2 linked regions of the Canis lupus familiaris genome follow. The protein of the gene in region 2 purifies or fractionates together with the protein of the main gene of each other region. This does not show direct contact. Links are inferred from orthologs where the notes say so. Each region holds a gene or a part of one and is shown on either strand. Other genes may lie near its edges.

What was found. The genes of interacting proteins can lie anywhere in the genome.
Region 1: the proteins of FNDC3A (region 2) and TENT5C purify together in Homo sapiens (affinity purification with western blotting; 3 studies listed by BioGRID, with this or other methods). This does not show direct contact. The link is inferred for Canis lupus familiaris from reciprocal best matches to the Homo sapiens genes FNDC3A and TENT5C.

What each region holds. Positions count from the first base shown.
Region 1 is NC_049238.1:55,475,738-55,482,131, reverse strand, and holds the start of TENT5C (terminal nucleotidyltransferase 5C), read right to left. Parts: upstream 4,207-6,394; 5' UTR 4,084-4,206; intron 3,657-4,083; exon of another isoform or gene 3,539-3,656; intron 2,485-3,538; exon of another isoform or gene 2,361-2,484; intron 1-2,360. UniProt on the Homo sapiens protein: Catalyzes the transfer of one adenosine molecule from an ATP to an mRNA poly(A) tail bearing a 3'-OH terminal group and enhances mRNA stability and gene expression.
Region 2 is NC_049243.1:2,663,133-2,669,359, forward strand, and holds the start of FNDC3A (fibronectin type-III domain-containing protein 3A), read right to left. Parts: upstream 3,781-6,227; 5' UTR 3,529-3,780; intron 3,091-3,528; exon of another isoform or gene 2,870-3,090; intron 1-2,869. UniProt on the Homo sapiens protein: Mediates spermatid-Sertoli adhesion during spermatogenesis.

The sequences.
Region 1 (6,394 bases), on a different chromosome or scaffold from region 2:
CAGGTGGTGTTTGAGGGGCATGGGACATGGAACTGGCCAGAGGCAGGAGGAGAACCCCGCTACTGCTCTCTGGAGTTGCTGTCTGCAGGGCCCTGAACCAGGTCAGTGATGGCAGTGGGAAACAAAAAAGTTAAAAAGATAAAAGATCAGCAGAACTAGCAGCCGAGTGAACTAGAGAGAAAAAGGCTGAGTGAGCCACGTGAGGCTGGCATCGGGGTGGATGGGCAGGAAGGACAGGGTGGGAAGTGCTGGAGGACAGCAGGTCTGGAGCTCAGCTGAAGGAGCTTCAGCTGCGGGCCAATTAGTAGGCACTGCCCCCTCGGCTCTGAACCTACTAAAAGGAGGCCACCATTTAGGGAAAGGCCTGGAAACCACTCGGCATTTTAGGCTGGAAGCTTCCAACCCAAAAAGCTTCCAGCACCTTAGCCCACCAGAATGAATCCACCGCAAGTATATTTCCCTCGCTGAGAGGAATGGCAGCTGAATGCACTATATCCAATCAACAGGAGCACCTTCCGTGGCCCAGGCTCTGCTCCAGACGCTGGGGATTCAGCAGTGAGCACAGATCCCTGCTTTCCTGGGGCTCACATGCCAGTGGCTAAGACAAACGAGCAAAATCCGAGTGCCCGTACATTCTGAGGCTGTCCCAGCTCCTCCTGCATCCTGAGCACTTCCACAGGCCTTTTTACATACCACTGCCTTGGCCTCCTCGGCACCTGGCACTAGCCACTGCCTGGGAAGCATTTAACTACTTACTGACTCAATCACAGTTATCCAAGAAATAAACATTTTATGCAGTTTAGTGACCAAGCCTCCAAAAGGCTCTGAGACTGAAAAATACCCTGGACGGAGTTACTTAACATCAGCAATTATTTCCTCATATTCGGTTTTTTTTTTTTTTCCTGTTGTTCCAAGAAGTTCTGCAAACAGTTCTAAGACAGGCTAGAGGGACCAGCTGTACAAAATCTATTGATTCTCAACAATTCATAAGGCTGCTTCTTACATAGCTGGGCTATGCAAAGATGCTTCGTCTACACCATCTAAATTCCAAATACGAGCTTCCTTAAAATGCACACAGTAGATGGACAAAAAGGCTTGAGACCAAAAGTCTGGGAAGCATCACAGAAGATCAACACTATGGCTGTACCCAACTGGCTTTTTTTAAACACATGAACATTTCTTTAGACACAGAGGTGGCTGCTTCATCATAATATAGCTTATGCCAATTTGATAGGCCATAGTCAAAACACCAAGATGACACAACACATTTTTCTATATTACCTGTGTACTCCAGTGACATCACAAAAAAAGCAATGGACCTTATCTAACCAGAGTAATGTTTTATCTCAAGTAACACCTCAGGTTCTACATTACTTCCCTTTATTCCCTTAGTGTGCGTGTGTGTGCGTGTGTGCGCGCGCGCACACACACACACAGAGCCCAGAGATCTGGCAGGGGACCAAGAAACCCAAACATAACAACACAAGTTTAAACTTAACTCATGAAACTAGTCTTGGGTTTCCACAATGTCTCTTGGTAACACACATACAAAAAAAGTTTACCACATCCAGTCAGAGCTTCTGGCTCGTCATTCTTTGTGACTGGCCCCAGGCACACAATATATCAGAGATGAAAGATGAAGACAAGGTATGACTTATTTGAGCGGTTAAAAAAAAAAAACAACAACATGTCGTTTGCTAACTTTGTATCAAATGTGTCCCATTCTTGGCCCCAGGAGAACAAGGACACTACAGTCTCCTCTATGTTATCTTTATTGCTAGGCAGGTCCTTGGATTTTCAGAAGTACGGGGACTTCTCTGTTCTTTGATGGGTAGTGCAAGATGTGCACAATTTGCCCTGGCCTTGAACACTGGGGGGTATAGGCTATGTGGGGCATATTGGGAAATGCAGAGGTGAGAGGGTTCTGTAACTCAGGATGGGGTCTCAGTGAGCTACTTGTACTCATGGAACAGCCAAGGGAACCAAGGAGGGAGAACCACTGGTGCTCAACTAAATCACACTCATTCTAGCAAATAGGCAAGATCCACGTCCTTTCCTGCAGAGGAACCCCAGCTTAATCTCTGGATATAAGGGAGGTATATGGTGGAGGAAACTCAACCCAATGGGTGTTGTTGTGAGCTCTAGGGACAGACACGGTCATGAAATCACAGAGCTTTATTTTGAGTAGCAATTTAGATGCCTCCTAGCTGAGGGGGAAAAAAGTGTGTGTGTGCTTAACTTTCACATTATATAATGGGACTCTCCCCACAGCCACCTGAACAAAAATATACAATATACCAAAACCTTCTTTCTAAAAACTCCTTATTGAGACTAAATGTACTCTAAAGATATGGGTATACCTTAAGACACAAGGTTTCAGTTATCTCAAGTAAAAGCTTGACTCCAGAGATATTAAGTTTTCCATCTTCACAAACAAGAATGTCAAAGGACAGAACCCCTGCTGGTCCAGCTCAGACTGCCTCCCTGAAAGCGAAGAGAAAAGTCAGCACTCTCTAGTTCCCCACCCCACCCCGTCCACCCATGGCTGGCGGGGTCTCATGTGTGGTGGGTCTCACTCCCTCAAGACACAGCACAATTCTTGGTAAGTGCTCCTACCCCCCACCCCTTCTCCCCACCCTCCACCCCTACCACACACACCACCCCTGGGCAGCCCCAGGCTGCCTGGCTTGCTTCCTTGTGGGCTTCCTTGCCAAGTTACTCCCGTGGAAAGGTTAGTGTAGCCAACAATGGCCACTCTCATCAACCCCCTTCCCCATGAAGGGCAGCTGGGCCAAGCCAGGAATCTACTTTAGAAGAATTTAATAATCTTTATTTCCTGGGGAGGTTCAGGTTCCTGACCCACCTACCAAATATCCTGAATACTGTCACCATACAAATGATTACCACAGTCTTTAGAAGCGCTGACTGTAAGAACGGCACTTAAAGCCCTCCATTGCTTGCATGTTACTCGTCCATCAAAAAGAAAAAGTTGAAGAGGTAGCAGCAGGTTGCCACCCCAGACAAGGATGCAGCCTTGCAGAAGCCTCCCTCCAGGGTAGAAGGAGGGAAGGGGACCGAGCTGATGCCCCCCGCGAGGTCCAGTCGCGATGAACCGGGGTGAGCTCGAGTTCCCCAGGGAAGCTCGCCAGCCTTCTCCCCGCCAGTCCTCCCTGACTTTGAGGGAGCGCAGTCTTGTGTCCCCACGCCCCCGTCCCCATCCGCCTTGGCGTTTAGCCGTCCAGCTACCAAGCTGTACCGGTCAGCTTCAGGCCCTCGCCCTCCTCCGACCCCCCTCCCACCTCTGCGACCTGGGGCGGCCCCCGCGGCCCCGCTAGCCCAGGCTGCTGCTCGTCTGCGCTCTTCCCACGGCGGGCAAGTGTCCTCCCTAACGGGGGAGGGGCCCGGCAGGACGCGGTCGCCGCATCCCGCACAGTCCCGGGACCTGCGGCGCGCGGACGTCCCTCGCTCGGGCCCCGGGGCTGCTCGCGGGGGCACCGTCCAGCGCGAGTCCACGGAAAGTGAGAGCCTCTGCCCTGACCTGGAAACCCCGGGCTTGGCGCCCAGCCGGGGAAGCGCCGGCGCCCCCGCCCTCCCCGGCCTGCTCCGTCTCCAACTGCGCCTCCCGAAACCGCCGCATTCGAACTCGCGCTCGGCCTGGGCGCGGGGGGCGCGGGGGCGCGGGGGCGCGGGGGCGCGGGGGCGCGGGGGGCGCAAGCTCTTCGGCCTCTTCGGCCTCCCCGCCCGCGCCGGCCAGAACGCAGCCCGCGGGACGCGCGGAGCAGGAACTCGCCCAAGTTTGCCAAGCCCCGGCCGAAGTCTCTGGAAAGTTGCAGCTCCCTCCCCGGGCGTCACGCCTGGTCCTCGCGGGGCGGGGGATGAGCGTGCGCGCGGGGTGCCGTCGCGGGGGCTGGAGGGGCAGGGAGCACCTGTCCGTGCCTCCCCCCGGCCCCCCGCCCCCCCCGGCTCTGGGAAGCCCGGAGCTCCGCTCGGCGGGACCGACCCCCCCCGCCCCGAAGGCAGCGCGCGCGGCGCTCCGGGGCCGCCGCATCCTCGCACCTGTAGGGCAGGGGGCTGGGGACTCACCTGGGCGGCGGAAGAGGCGACGACAGAGGCAGGTCCTCGGCGCGGTCACTGCAGCCCCCAGGCAGCGGCACCGAGAGAGCGGTCCCGCCGCCGCCCCCTCCGTTCTTATACGGCCTGGCCACGCCCCCGCCGCCGCCCGCCCCGCCCCGCCCCGCCCAGCCTGCCCTCCCCGGGGAGCGAGGGGCGGGGCGGGGCGGAGCCAGCGCCCTCGGGGTCCTCCCGCCGCGGCGCTGACGGCGAGGGCGGGGCGCGCGGGGCCCCCTGATTGGCCCCCGGCTGAATGGTTGCCGAGAGACGAGTAAATCTTCGGCGGCGGGAAGGGGCGGGGTGGGCGGGCGGGAGCGCGGCGCAGGCGCAGGCGCAGTCGAGGGGCCTGGCCGGCTCCCCCGCCCCAACCCCGGAGTCCCGGGGCTCTGCTCTCCGCCGGGCTCCTGCTGCCGTCGCCGTCCGTCGCCTCTTCCTCCGTCTCCGTCCTGCTGCCTCGCAGGCCTGCTTTCCTCTTGCTCCTCCGGGGATCTTGGCCTTGCTCCTCTTCTCTCCGGAGCGGGCAGTGACACCCCGACGCCTACCTCCCGCGTGTGTTTTGAGGTCTGGAAACACACACACACACACACACACACACACACACACACACCAGCTTGTGGCTTGTGAGCCGAGGAAGCCTTCCTCTTCCCCCCAAGCAAATTGCCTGGAGGCTGGCCCTCCGCCCGCAGGCTGCACCTGTGTGTGGTTAGCGGGTGCGGGCCTCGAGAAGTCCGGTCGCCCAGGCTGACAACTGCGACCGCGTGGCCGCGCCCCCGAGGGCCGCGTGTATTATAGAAGGTGCGAGCCGGGCTTGGACACCAGCCGCCGGCTCCGTAGCCAGCGGCTTGGGGTCCAGGTTCGAAACTCAGGTCAGTGTGGGCTGGGACCTCCGCTCACCACCTGTCTATCTGCAAGGCCTTGGGCAACGACTTAACTCTCCCCGTAAACCTGTTTGCTCACCTGTATGATGAGGCTAAAGCTAGAGCAGCTTCCTAGGCTTCTGTAAGTATTGGATAAGAACATGGAAGGCTATTAGTGCAGTGTCTCACGCAAATTGTGTGGCAAGTGTTGCTCATATCAAATAGTAGCTGTTGTTAGTGATCAATAAACGTTTACTGAGCTTGTGCGGATCCCCCTACTGGGTGGTGGAGAGGAAGGTTACTTCCCAGGTGCGGGATCTCCCTATCCCTCCCCTTGCGACCCCGCCTGAAATATCCGTGTCTGCCAAGATCTCAAGAGCTCTCTGGGGGCAGGGGGAAGTCTCCCGGAAGGTTGATGAGATAGGATATCAGCATGCCTCCGTGGGGGAAAGCAACAGTGATTCTATTGTTGGACATGAAATCAGGGTGTATGGTCTGGTTTTTTTCTCTTCACCCTTTGAGATATACATTCAGGATAGTGCACAAAGCTGGGGTTACACCATGATGAATTTCTATGTATGTGTACACTCAGGTATCTCCAGCTTCCTCATGCCCCTTCCCATTCCGTGTCCCTCAAGGGTCAACGCTGTTCTGACCTCTATCACCACAGGTTAGTTTTCCAGGGTTTGAACTGGATGTGGATGAATTACATGTCTGTGCATTTTTGTGTCCATCTCCTTTCACTTAACGGTGTGTCTATAATATTCATCCATTTGGTCGATGTAACAATAGTTCATTCTTTTCCATTGTTGTATATTATTTAATTGTATAAATATTCAATAATTGATACACTCTTCCTACTGGTAGATGTTTGGGTTGCATCAAGTTCTTGTCTATCCTGAATGAAGCTGCTACAAACTATCTTTTTTTTTTTTTCTAGCTTCATTGAAGTGTAGTTGGCAATTAAAAATTAGGTACATTTAAGGCGTACTACATGATGTTTTAATGTACATTGTGAAATGATTACCACAACCAACCTAGCCATTACCTCCCATAGTTACCACGTGTGTATGTGTAGTGCAAATGCTTAATATCAAACTCTCTTTTGCAAATTTCAGTTATATAATACAGTACTATAGTTATAGTCACCGTGGTGTACATTAGATCCCCAGAATTTATTCATCTGGCATAACTGTACCTTTATACCCTCAGGTCTATATATACAGGATTGGAATTGCAGAATCACAGAGTATATACATATTAAGCTTTAAATGTATTGCCAAATGGTTTACTCAAGTGGTATAACAATTCGTATTCCAATGAGCGATGTGAGATTTCCGGTTGCTCCACATCTTTGCCAGTATTGGTATCATCGGTCTTTTTAATTTAAAAAGGCGAGCGTGTATTGTATTATGATTTACGTTTAT
Region 2 (6,227 bases):
CCCTACTTCCAGCTCTGGATGTCAACCTTTTTCGGAGTGTCTGTCCTTGTGCTAAGTCCTTCCCAGGCTTCAAGTCTGATTTCTTCCAAATGCCTTCCATGATCCCTCAGTGGACTCACTTTCTTTCAAATTAAGTCCTGGCCATCCAATTTAATAATAACATCTTATATTTTCACTAATGATTTCCTGTTAGTCTAGTATCTACAACTATTTTCTAAACAACTTGAAGGAAGTAAAGATACCACACTGCTTTAATATCCCCACTTCAATAGTGGCTCATCATCCTTTGAGCACATGTCATCTCCCAAGTGTACCTCTCTATCTTGGAGAAAAAAATAATCTGAAGACTGGAAAATGGGTGATAAGTGATTGGAAATATCAAAGGAAGATACCCACAAAATAACTTGATGGAAGACCATAAGCTGTACTGCAAACTTAGAAAGTGTATGTGAAACACAAACAAAACTATAATATGGAAGGATAGAAAAATAAGGATCAAGAAATTAAGAGACCACTGAAAAATATTCTGAAATAAAATGATATCAAAATAGTAAGAAAGTTATAAAAGCTTACAATACATGTTTAAAAAAATCTGCCTTTCAACACTATCGGCCATTAATTTCCTTTCAACAGGCAGCTCTTGACATTGATATCCATTAAGGATTTTTTTTTTTTTTTTTTTGCAGTGTGATAACTGAAGCCCTAAAAGATTCAGTGGGATAGACATGCACTGTACCCTAAATCTTTAGATTTTCAATACTCTAAATTTATTTGAGGTGTGCTAGAAATTGTTAAGGAAAAAAAAAACACCAATCATTTATCTTTTGATTATCTGGCTAATAAAATTGGAAACCAAGTGCATACCCTTATATCACTCTCAAGTATACCACCATACAAAAATGCACCAAGAATATAAAAAAATTTTTTTTTTTTTTTTTTTTTTAATTTATTTATGATAGAGAGAGAGAGAGAGAGAGAGGCAGAGACACAGGCAGAGGGAGAAGCAGGCTCCATGCACCGGGAGCCTGACGTGGGATTCGATCCCGGGTCTCCAGGATCGCGCCCTGGGCCAAAGGCAGGCGCCAAACCGCTGCGCCACCCAGGGATCCCTAAAAAAATTTTTATTACTTGACCAAACTGTTGTTATAAAAATATAGGCAAAATATAAGGTGCACAAGACTTGCATGTACGCACATAAAAAAGAAATGTTTTAAAACAAGCATTTTATTACCCATGAGTTTATACTAACAATACGGCGTATTATAAAGTAAGCGCTCTTTACCTAAGTTAAGCTACAGAGGATGATGAGGATATTAATCATATATTCCTTCTTTTAGTCCTGGGTTTTATAGTCTCTCAGTCCTTACCTATGCCTGGCTGGTCAGAGAAGAGAGAGACAGTTTTCTTAATTATGAATAAAATATGCTTAATATTATACTGTAGAAATTTTACAATTAAAAAGTAATTATTAAACGCATGGTAAAATGAATCAGCTGTCAATTACTCACATGATGAGGGGAAGTGATGACACAGATGGCACCAAAAGATAATCCTAGCATTGGTTTTTTTTCAAATGTATATCAGTAATTTGGAAGAAGCAAACTGCCCTTATAATTACATCTGACTAAGGCCAGGGTTAACTAGAAGTCTATCTTCCCTAAACACTCAATGGTTTTGAGAATTCAAAAGGAGAGACAAAGGGGAAAAGGGAGTTAACTCAGAAGCATACAGGTGGCTAAAGGCACCCAGCTAAGGATAAAAAAATTTCTCTGTCATTCTACATAAGAAAACTGAGAGACGATCTCTGAAGAAAAAAAAAAAAAACAGTAAAATTTACCAGAACAACGCTAAAAACTTTTGAATATGACATTATTTACAAAAATCTTAGTGAGGTGTTTTTTTTTCCTCCCTGTTAAATCATTCTTTTTTCCCCACTAACTAGTGTTATTTAGTGATGGCAAGCATTATCAGTCGGCCAGAGAGCTGAAAGCAAATTTTAGGTTCCAGGTTATTTAAAAAAAAAAAAAAAAAAGTGCTAAAAATCCTTTTTATCATTGTTTTCTGTTAAGCCCACCCTCTGCCTCAACAGGCACTTTATCTCATGACCTGAGATGAAATCAACTCAACCAAGAAAATACCAAAAAGGCAGAGGAGTCATTCCTCTGGAATATTTATAGGTGATTCAAACAAAACTGACACGACGGCAAGAATTACAGATTTAGCAAATGCACAAAAAAACTAAATATTTATCCAAACACCGAGATCAGGGCCACAAATCCCAATTAGTTGCTGCCTGACATATGGCTCTAACTCCTGAGTAGGGCATATGTTTAGTTCCCGCTGGTGCTGGAAACGGCACGGCGGGGAAAATAGTGGAGTAACAGTTCAACTTCAGTCATTTTTTTTTCTTTCTTTTCATTCTTAGGATACAGAAAAAAAAGAAAAAAAACCCTGCAACTTTGGTTTCCAGAACTAAAAAAAAAAAAAAAAAACAGCCCGCAGTTAAGCTTAATAATGAGGCGGCTCGGTTTTCAAAGTCCATACTGGACAACAACGTAGGAGGGATCATACTGCGGAAAAAAAAGGAAGAAGAAAAAAAAAGGAAAGAAAAAAAAAATACCTTATCAGCTTAACGATCCTTGGGTTAGAAGATGCTCAGACACAAAGGTGTCCAGAGACACGTTAAAATTTCACAACGGAAGATCTCGAAGGCACGGTTCCGGGCGCTCCAGCGTCCATTACAGGCTCCCTCCCTGTCCCCCCACTCCCCCCCCCCCCCGGCAAAAAAAAAAAAAAAAGTAAAAGTAAAAAAAAAAAAAAGGAAAAAATACCCCCGAGCTTTTTAGCGCGGACAGAGCGGTACAAGATCGACCGAGGGCGACACTAACGACGACAGCCCGCGTTCCCGCTGCAGCCGGAGCGGCGGCATCACTCGCCCGTCCGCCTTACCTGACGCGTGGCGTCCCTCCGCCGCCGCCGCCGCCGTGTCCGGAGTTCACGGATCCAGGTGGTTCCTCAGCAGCGCGAGCGAGCGCGGCAGCCCCGGCAGTGCCCTCCCGCCCCAACAGGTGGCTCGCGGAGAACCGCCAGGTACGGGGCGCCGGCCGCGCAGCACCCGACGGCCAAGGGCGGGCTCGTGGACGTTTTAACCCCTTCAGAGGAGCGGGGGCGGGGGCGGCGACGCGCTCCGGAAAAAGCGTCTCAGTTCGGCGGCGGCCCAAGCTGAGGCGCGGCGACCGCTCGGCGACCTTCTCCGCCGGGCTCCGCGCTCGGCGCCCCGAGCCTCCGCGAGCCGCGCTGCTCCCCGCCGGCGGGGGAGGGGGAGGGGCAAGGGGAGGGGGCGGGTCGCGGTCGCGGTCGCGCCCCCCGCCCCCCCTCAGGCGCCTCGCAGCGGGACTCGGGCCCGGCAGGTGGGCGACAAGTGGGCGGGCGCCGCCCCCGCCCTGCCCCCCGACGGGCCCCCCGCCCCCCCGCCCCCGGCAGCCTAACGGTCCCCGCGGCGCCGGCTCGCCGTCCCCCGTCTCTCACCTCCGAGTCACGCCGCTCTGAGGCGGAGGAAGGCGGCTCCCGGGCGCCCCTCCTTCGGCTTCCCGACCGTCCTCGCCCTGCCTGGGCGGCAGCGCCAGCTCCCGGGGGGCCGCTGCGGCCGCCGGCGCGCTGACTGTCGGCGTGGTTTTCCGGCGGTGACGGCGCCGCCTCAGCCCCGCTCTCCGCTCCCTCTCCGCGCAGCTCCCGCTTTCTGTTTCACCCGAGGGACCACGAACGCCGCCGCCGCCATGCTTACTACGGAGCCGGGAGGAGGAGGAGCCCGGCGTCGGCGCGCCCACTGCGGCTGCGCGAGCCTCGCCGACGGCGCCCCCGGCCGCCCGCACCCTGGCCACGCCCCCTGGTCACGCCTCTAGCCACGCCCCTAGCCACGCCCCCGCCGGGCGCTGCGCCTCGGAGCGCCCCCTTCCAGCTCCCGGGGCTGCAGGCTGGATCCCGCGGCCTCGCCGCTCGGGGTCCCGCTGAAGCATCTGCCCCGGCAGCCTGCGGGCGACCCTAGGGGGAAGCAGGGGGGAAGCAGGGGTGTGTGGGAGGGTGAATCGACATCCCTGGGGGGCCACTCACGCGGTTCTCCGTGCAGACTGGAAAAAGGCTCCCTCTGGGACGCGCCGGGTCAGCCTCTCTCCGAAAGCACCAGAACTTAAATGCTGGCAGGTGCTTTTAAAGACACCCCCCTCCCCCCCCCCCCCCAAGGACTAGGAAGCCAAGCCAAGTGGGTTGGAGGTTTTCCATCCTAAACACTTAGAGCCCCGGATCTCTACGGCAAGCAAAAATATTTAGATAATTACTTCATTTGAAAACGTGGCAGGGTGGGGGTGCTGCTGGGGGGTGCTGCTGGGGGGTGGGGGTGGGGGGCGTGTCTTGGTGTGCTCCCCGGCCCAATCGCACGGACACCCGTTACCTTAATTTGCACGACAGCGCGAGGACTTCGGAGCGAAGGGAGCACGGGTTGCTTCAAACGGGCAGCAGTCGGGGGGGGGGGGGGGGGGCGGCTGGCCGGGCTGCTCCCTGCTGAGGACTCGGCGGAAGGCCCTGGGAAGGGGTCCGACCCCGGGGACCGCGCCCTCCAAAACCCGGGATGAGTGTCCCCCGGCTCCCTGCTCAGGCTCTAATTCACTTTAGTAATTGCACGGCGTTTTAAAATAGCCGTGTTTTTTATTATTATTATCTTTCATTGTAACCCTTTTTCCAGAAATCCTTTTATTTTTTGTTTTTAAAAGATTTTATTTATTTATTCACGAAAGACACACATACACCCAGAGGCAGAGAGAGAAGCAGGCTCCGTGCAGAGAGCAGACATGGGACTCGATTCCGGGACTCCAGGATCATGCCCTGGGCCAAAGGCAGGCGCTATGCCGCTGAGCCACCCAAGGATCCCTCAGAAATCCTTTTAAAACCTGATTACTCCCTACATTCTTAAAGAATACAGCATTTTAATGAAATCCTTTGTCGATGACTGACAATCAAACACGTCAGGGTTAGGGTTAGGGTTACAGTCAGGGTTAGGGTTAGATACCTTGGCCATTTGCTAAAGTCCCAGGGGATTGCTTAGGGATCTAGGATTCCCTACTTCGGTGATCTCTCTCTCTCTCTCTCTCACTCTCTCACTCTCTCTCTTTTTCTTTTTTCCCCCCTTTTTGGAATGCTCTCATCACCTTTTCTAATAACCTGTCACTGCTTCTCATCTCATCTGTCTCTTTATCCACTCTGAGCCTTCCTCTCATCCTTTCTACTCTACTGTTTATTTTTTACTCGTTTTTCCTGATGGCTTTTCTCTGGCTCCAGGCGATGATTGATCAGATGTTCATATCCACAGCCGGCTAATGAGAGAATCATTTTTCTTCCCATCAGTAAATAGGACAGGGACTCTACATCAAGTGATATTTTGAGAGATTTTTATTGCTCGTTCACTCTCAAAAGTTCTTTCCCTGTGAGAGGTGTTTTCTTTCCTCAACTTCCAGTTTTGGCCCTCCTCCAGACAAAATTTGCTGGAAAGCCGATCTCGGAATAACTGAAGCTTAACTGTGTATTGTTGTAAAATATGAGTATTTATCAGAGTGTGGGCACGTTGGGTGGCTTCTCCATCTTGCTACCCTAGCTCTGTTTGGTCTAAGACTAAGCTAGTGGTTTCCAAACCTTAACTCTAAGCTAGTAATTTCCAAAGCTTCCTACTTGGGGTTTTTTTTTTTTAAAAAAAAGCCAGAATCTTGTAATCTACCCCTCAAGATTTTGACTAGGGGGAGAGGAGGAAACAAAAAATGGCATTAAAAACAAAAAACAAAAAACAAAAAAAAAACCACTGTATTTTTAAAAAGTATGCCGGGCATTCCTACATGTATAATCACAACAAAGAAGAACGGCTATTTCGAAGGAGACTAAGACATAATTCCAGAATATCACTGAAGTAGATGTAAAGATTGTAGTCAACAATATGCAATGCTAGAAGGTTGAGTCAAGTGAGGACTGGGGAATTTATGTCCTGTGGAGAGAATGAATCATACACATAAATAACCCTAACACAGGCACCGGTATGAATTCTCTGGGAATCCAGAAAGGGACAGGAATTTACGTCAGCCTTGAACAAGTCACTTCTCAACGCTTCATTTTTCTTATCGATGAAATAAGGTCATTTTCAATCATCTTTAACTCTCAACAATACTCAACACATTGACCAATTATTT